Linked DNA regions of Macaca fascicularis. The protein of the gene in region 2 interacts with the protein of the main gene of each other region in a biochemical or structural test. Links are inferred from orthologs where the notes say so. Each region holds a gene or a part of one and is shown on either strand. Other genes may lie near its edges.

What was found.
Region 1: the proteins of PSMD4 (region 2) and UBQLN1 form a complex in vitro, tested with the Homo sapiens proteins (6 studies listed by BioGRID and IntAct, with this or other methods). The link is inferred for Macaca fascicularis from reciprocal best matches to the Homo sapiens genes PSMD4 and UBQLN1.

Annotation. Positions count from the first base shown.
Region 1 is NC_088389.1:114,273,171-114,276,696, reverse strand, and holds the end of UBQLN1 (ubiquilin-1), read left to right. Parts: intron 1-937; coding exon 938-1,090; 3' UTR 1,091-2,916; downstream 2,917-3,526. UniProt on the Homo sapiens protein: Plays an important role in the regulation of different protein degradation mechanisms and pathways including ubiquitin-proteasome system (UPS), autophagy and endoplasmic reticulum-associated protein degradation (ERAD) pathway.
Region 2 is NC_088375.1:109,952,396-109,956,048, forward strand, and holds part of PSMD4 (26S proteasome non-ATPase regulatory subunit 4), read right to left. Parts: coding exon 3,618-3,653; intron 2,812-3,617; coding exon 2,725-2,811; intron 2,479-2,724; coding exon 2,410-2,478; intron 2,251-2,409; coding exon 2,035-2,250; intron 1,645-2,034; coding exon 1,527-1,644; intron 1,339-1,526; coding exon 1,207-1,338; intron 1,126-1,206; coding exon 1,058-1,125; intron 151-1,057; coding exon 1-150. UniProt on the Homo sapiens protein: Component of the 26S proteasome, a multiprotein complex involved in the ATP-dependent degradation of ubiquitinated proteins.

The sequences.
Region 1 (3,526 bases), on a different chromosome or scaffold from region 2:
TTCGCCATGTTGCCCAGGTTGGTCTCAAACTCCTGAGCTCAAGCTATCCCACCCGCCTTAGCCGCCTCCCAAAGTGCTGGAATTACAGGCGTGAGCCACTGTGCCCGGCCTGCTTTCTGTTTTCAGGCCTTACTAAATACAATAAACAGAGTAGTGTTCTGTCATATACATATCTGTATTCCTGATAAGCCAGCGTAGTATAGTTTCTGGCTCATGGTAGGTACTCAGTAAGTATTCATGGAATAAATAAGAAAGAAGGATTTGGAGTATTAGAATTAATTGTTACATAAGTTAACTTACCTCCGAATTACCAAGTAGGCCTAGGATTGATTGGTCATTTATGTGATTTATGTGGGGTTTTTTTTTTTTTTTTTTTTTTTTAACTTCATTTCTGAAGAAAAGATTTGATGCTGCTGAATTGTCAGAATTAAGAGTATAATTTTGGGCCTGAAACTGAAACTCTTTTCTAAGAATTGACTGTCCAGTGTGCAAGTTAAACTCACATTCATTCAAAGAATCATTGAAACTTTAGAATTTCATACATGAGGATACCGGCTTTTATAAGTTACTCAATTGGTCAGTAGCTATACAAATCATCTAATTCTGAACTATTTGTATATATATATGTGTTCAAATTTTTCTGCACGTACATGATCCTCTAAAATAACGGTTGATGTTTATTAAGCTTCCCCCCCTTCCCCACCAAAGTAGAGTCGTGATCTATTTGACGTGATTAGGTATAAACTAGACTATTTAAAATAAAGTGCTAATGGACTTTTAAATATGTTGGATATGTTTCAAGAGGTGGGCAGTGTTTTTGAAGCTCAGTAGATCAGCATATGTTATAAAAAAGCAATTAAAAAATTTTAAAAGTCAGTCAGGTGTGGCATGGATTGGCTTCCTTTAGAGTTGGATTAATTTTTTTTTTCTTTAATAGCTACAGAATCCAGAAGTCAGATTTCAGCAACAACTGGAACAACTCAGTGCAATGGGATTTTTGAACCGTGAAGCAAACTTGCAAGCTCTAATAGCCACAGGAGGTGATATCAATGCAGCTATTGAAAGGTTACTGGGCTCCCAGCCATCATAGCAGCATTTCTGTATCTTGAAAAAATGTAATTTATTTTTGATAACGGCTCTTAAACTTTAAAATACCCGCTTTATTTCATTTTGACTCTTGGAATTCTGTGCTGTTATAAACAAACCCAATATGATGCATTTTAAGGTGGAGTACAGTAAGATGTGTGGGTTTTTCTGTATTTTTCTTTTCTGGAACAGTGGGAATCAGTGCTTTTCATTTAAGGCTACTGCATGCATCACTTCTGCATTTATTGTAATTTTTTAAAAACATCACCTTTTATAGTTGGGTGACCAGATTTTGTCCTGCATCTGTCCAATTTATTTGCTTTTTAAACATTAGCCTATGGTAGTAATTTATGTAGAATAAAAGCATTAAAAAGAAGCAAATCATTTGCACTCTAATTTGTGGTACAATATTGCTTATTGTGACTTTGGCATGCATTTTTGCAAACAAAATGCTGTAAGATTTATACTACTGATAATTTTGCTTTATTTGTATACATATAGAGTATGCACATTTGGGACTGCATTTCTAGAAACATACTGCAATAGGCTATCTGAGCAAAACACCTGTAACCAAAAAAGTGAAGATAAGAAAATACTCTTAAAGCCGAGTATTTCCTAATTGTATAGAATCTTACAGCATCTTTGACAAACATCTCCCAGCAAAAGTGCCGGTTAGACAGGTTTGTTGAAAATATAGTAGAAAAACTGATTCTGGTTATCTCTTTAAGGACAATTAATTGTACAGACACATAATGTAACATTGTCTCAACATTCATTCACAGATTGACTGTAAATTACCTTAATCTTTGTGCAGACTGAAGGAACACTGTAGTATACCCCAAAGTGCATTTGCCTAGGACTTTTCAGCTTCTCCCATAGGTAGTTTAACAGGCATTAAAATTTGTAATTGAAATGTTGCTTTCACTGAAAAAGTGTCTAAATGTTTCAGTTATTTTTAATCGCCATATAAAAATAGAACTCTCTTTTGGGTTTATCTGTTTTCTCATGCACAGGCAATACACGAATTTAAAATGAGTTGTGAGCCAATTGTTTCTGGAGTGTTTTGGTAGTTCTGTTACGAAATAGTTAAATATTGTGCTTTTCAGAGCCTCAGAAAGGGGGACGGGGTGGGGGGGGCGGGCAGTGGAATCTATCCTGGATGGGGCCAGCTTAAATAATACTGGCAACCAAGATTCTGTTAGGATTTCTGTGCATATAGTATAGTAAAGAAGTATCATTCAGGGGTGAAAAACAAAGAGCCGTTTTAATGATGTTGAGTACATTTGGCTGTTTTATAGCCTTTTTCTTCCCTCCCCAAAGAATTCTGTTTGCCTAACTCCCAAACTGTTGGGGTGGTACATTCCTTTAGGACCAATTAAAACAGAGTTTAGGGTCAGTAATACATTTGGCTGACTCTGGTTCAGTATTCTCTTAGGTGATTATATTCTCTCATGTACAGTTACAGGAAATTAAAATGTTAAAGTAACCTAAAATGAATTCAGACCAATAAAATCAAGGGAAATACAAGTTGATTCCATTACTTCTGTACGTTGCTTGCTATTAAAAAAGGTTAAGAGGCCAGGTTACCCACCAGTCCATGCACTGTTCTGACACTTTCCCCAGGAGGAAAACAAGTACAAAGGTTATGGTGGAGGCATGAGTAGAGATTGTTGAGAAGGGTATTCATGTGTCTTTGCTCTTTCTGCTTGATGCCTCAGTCTGGTTTAAAAACTTCTGTACTGGCGAATGTGGTATTCAGTGTGGGATAGTGTCATAACTAATTTGACAATTTATTAATCACAAAATAACAATAAATCTCTAGCTTTTACATTTGATTTGTCTTGCCTCTTTTGTAGAAAGAAAAACAAATGTCTATAACTTTTGCTAACCATGTGTTTTAAAGGCTATTGAAGTTGATTTACCCCAGATTTTGTCACATTTTACATTCTTTATTTTTCAGGTTTTCCAATTAAAATGTCACATGGTCTTTTGTGGTGTGATAAAAAGATAGCACACTGGGAAGGTAGGTGACTTGAGCTCCACTTTTGATCTTGGTACTTGACTAGTTATGTGACATTGAGGCGTCATGATTTCTTTATTATACGTGTACTGGTGAGGCTTATAGGTGCACTGGACTGGGCGAGAAGCTCTGAAGTACCTTCAAGCAGCTGCAGTGGTATGGTTTTCATTTTTAATATGTTTACCTTTAGGTCTAAGTCTAAAGATAAATATCTACATCTTAAGGGGTTCAAAATACTTAAAATTCTTATCAGCACTAAAAGGATGTTTAAAATACTGTAGGCTTAAACTGTTCTCATATTGAGTGATAATATTTAGTACAAATTGAATAAAGAATGGAGTAGTGAAGGTGTCATTTCAGGATTTTATTTCCTAATTATACTATTTGTGATATCGTAAACAAAGTGTAGCAAGTACTGAA
Region 2 (3,653 bases):
CTTGTCCTTCTTGCCGTCCTTGGTGGCCTGGGAGGCCAGGGAGCCCATAGCATTTCGAATGGCTTCATTGTTGGGATCCACACCTGGGAGGTTCTCTAGGACACTCTGAAGGAACTCGGGGTCCTGCATCACGTCGTAATCATCCTCCTCCTGCAAACAGGCAGTGTGAGCTCAGGGGAGGGTGTGGAGCAGCAGGGAGTAAGCAGGTGTGAAGGACAGGAGCATGCCGCTGCCGGAGCTCCCCTGCCTTCTGACTGTGTGGGGATTCGGGCACCTCTGGCCGAGGTAAGGAAAGGACAAATCAGCAAAATCCTTTCTATGGCATGAATGCAAACAGTTATTACTGACCAAATAGAGGAGGCACCTGTTGAGAACTGTTTTTTTTTTTTTTTTTTTTTGAGACGGAGTCTCGCTCTACCGCCCAGGCTGGAGTGCAGTGGCCGGATCTCAGCTCACTACAAGCTCCGCCTCCCGGGTTTACGCCATTCTCCTGCCTCAGCCTCCCGAGCAGTTGGGACTACAGGCGCCTGCCACCGCGCCCGGCTAGTTTTTTGTATTTTTTTAGTAGAGACGGGGTTTCACCGTGTTAGCCAGGATGGTCTCGATCTCCTGACCTCGTGATCCGCCCGTCTCGGCCTCCCAAAGTGCTGGGACTACAGGCTTGAGCCACCGCGCCCGGCCTGAGAACTCTGTTAATTGAGCTCTGAGGAGAAAAACAGATTCCATCACACTGAGGTTTCCTGCTCTCAAGACACCCAGTTCTCCTTTTTCTTTTTCCCAGACCCTCTTTTCTCCCTCCTGGGTAGACATCCTAGAGAACTGCCCAGGCTGCTCCCACCAGCAAGGAAGGAAAATTACAGAACATGAGGACACTTATCCAACTTTGACCACTAGCATTGCTACCTTAGCAAGGTTTACATGTAAGAAATGCATATCCATGTGTTTCCCTCTGCTCCTCAAAGGACTTAGCTATGGTAGAAATGCTCCCAGCCTCAGAGGGATGAGGATCTAAATTCAAGGACTTTAAACCTGATGCGGGGGCAGGTTTGGGTCTCACCTTGGCTGGCTCAGATGTGTCCATGGCTGAGCTGGCATCAATGTCTGCTGATTCCGCCTGGCCAAACTCTGAGGAAGAGAGGTCACTCTGTTCAGTTACCCTTCTTCATCCCAGCCCTCTGCCTAGGCACCACCCAGGCTCTGGCTCACCTGCTCCCTGCAGGGACATCTGCATGGCATAAGCAATCTGCTCTTCCTCAGTCATACTGCTTAGGTCAGGAAGCCCAGTGCGGCCAAACTCTTGCTGGCTGATGGTCATCTTCAGCAGGGCATCATCTGAGTCTGGGAAAAGGAAAAGAGGAGCAGGGTAGAATTGATGCCATATCCACACAGGCCAGCCTCCAAAGCCATTCCCCTAGCCTGGCCCTCCCACATATTCCTACTCTGTCAGACCTCCACACTCTCCCTGCAGTGCCTATACCCAGCTTTCAATGTTTAGCATCCCACAGTCCCAGGACTTCAGATTCCACCTCTTTCACCTTCAGTCCCAGTCGTAGCAATCCCGGCCTCAGCAGCAGAAGCTGCAGCTGCCCGCCGGGCCTCCTCCTCCTGCCGCTGCCGCTGCTCTTCCATTGATACACGAAGGGCCTGATGAAGAGCAGGGCACAATCAGGGCTCCCCTGCCCTCACTCCTACAGGGAGCTGGGAAAGTTAGTTGGGGTGTAGGAAAGGAACATAAAGGGGCAGCTTCTGGTTTATCACACAGAGAAGCTGGAGGGATAAGCAGTGGTATAGGATTAAAAAGGACTTGGGAGAAGCCTTGGTTTTCATCAGGGGGAGTGAAAAAGAAAGCGTCTGACATTAGTGCTCCTAGAGATCAGACAGAAGTATAGGGAAGAGGGGGCAAAAGGAGGTCTTGGAATATGAGTTACTGGGAGTGTCTAGGACTGTTCAGCCTAGTAGAAGCTCTGTGATGTGTGTGCCAGAAAAGAACAAAAAAGGGCCTTTGGGCTCTACCTGGGGTCAACATTTGCTCACCAAGGCCAGCTCAGGATCAGCACTGGGATCTACTCCAAATTCAAAGTCACTGGCACCAAGACCCAGCATGGCACCACCTTCGCCAGCCAAAATCGGAGAACTGATGAGAGCATCAGCCAAGCTGGGCCCAGGAGGCACTGTCACCAGATGAGAACCGGTTCCATCTTTGCCATTCAACGTGTTTACAAAGGCTGTCAGCTTTTCTGTGTTCACCTCCTGGTGAGGAAAGAACACAGGACGCCCTCCTTCAGGCCTTGCTCCCTGTTCTTTGCCACGTCCATACTACTCTGCTACAGTGCCCACACTCCTCAGGGTTAAGGACCATTCTGTTTATAACCAAATTAAGCCAATGCCCTCCAATCAGTCCCTACTCACCTCTTCCCCAAAATTGATAATGTCAACATTTACTTTCTCCTTCTTGAGGCGTTTAGCCAGTTTCACCAGCTGGGAAGAAGGGGAGAAAAATCAAGAAATTTGTTCCATACTCGAGGGGGGAAAGGACCTGCCGCATAAAAGCATACAGAACTCTATTGACCTCCCCAAGGTCCTACAACAGAAAAACTGAATTCTCCACATTCACCTTTCCCCAAAGTCATGAGCCTGATGCCTCTGCCAGGTTCTCCTGAGGGATGAAAGACCTCAGTCCCAAACACTGGCTGCCCACATTCCCCAGCTGCCACTTGGACTCACATCCTTCTCATTGTCCTCCACCGGGCTTCCCACAAAGGCAATGATGCGCATCTTGTGATTCTTGCCCTGTCGGTGCTTCAGAGCCAGCTTGTAAAGGGAGAGGAAGTTCTCAGAGTCAACCAGAGAAATCACTCAGCTCTTTCCTCTGTCACTCGGTTCCGTTTTCTTACAGTTTCTTTGTACCTCAAGTATACCATCTACCATCACGCTCACACAAGATTTAACACCCCCAATTCCTCCCTTTTTGCTGTGACTCTCTGTGCATAAAGAAGGGAGGTTAATTCTCCTTTTTTTTTTTTTTTTTTTTTTGAGATGGAGTCTCGCTCTGTCACCCAGGCTGGAGTGCAGTGGCACGATCTCGGCTCACTGCAACCTCCACCTCCTGGGTTCCAGCGATTATCCTGCCTCAGCCTCCCGAGTACTGGCCAATTTTTATATTTTTAGTAAAGATGGAGTTTTACCACGTTGGGCAGACTGGTCTCGAACTCCTGACCTCAGGTGACCCTCCCAAAGTGCTGGGATTACAGGTGTGAGCCACCGCACCCAGCCTTTTTTTTTTTTTTTTAAAAAAAAAAAAAAAAAAAAAAAGAGAAACATGGTCTCGCTATGTGCCAGGTCTTAAACTGCTGGCCTTCAGCAATCCTCCTCCTTTGGCCTCCCAAACTGCTGGGATTACAGGCGTGAGCTACCACACCCAACCTTAATTCTCAATTCTAGGGATTTTTCCCCTTACAACCCTCAACTACCCTTGACTCATCCCCCATATCCTTTCTATGCCAAGTTAACTTTCTCTTGCTCTGGTCCTAGCTCAGGAATCCAGGGGAGAAATAAGTATGATGGAGGCAGGACCTCAGAGCAGGGAGAAACAGTCCAGAGAACCCAGTAGGACTCACATGGGCCACGCGGATACCAGTGCAGAAGGTGATCTT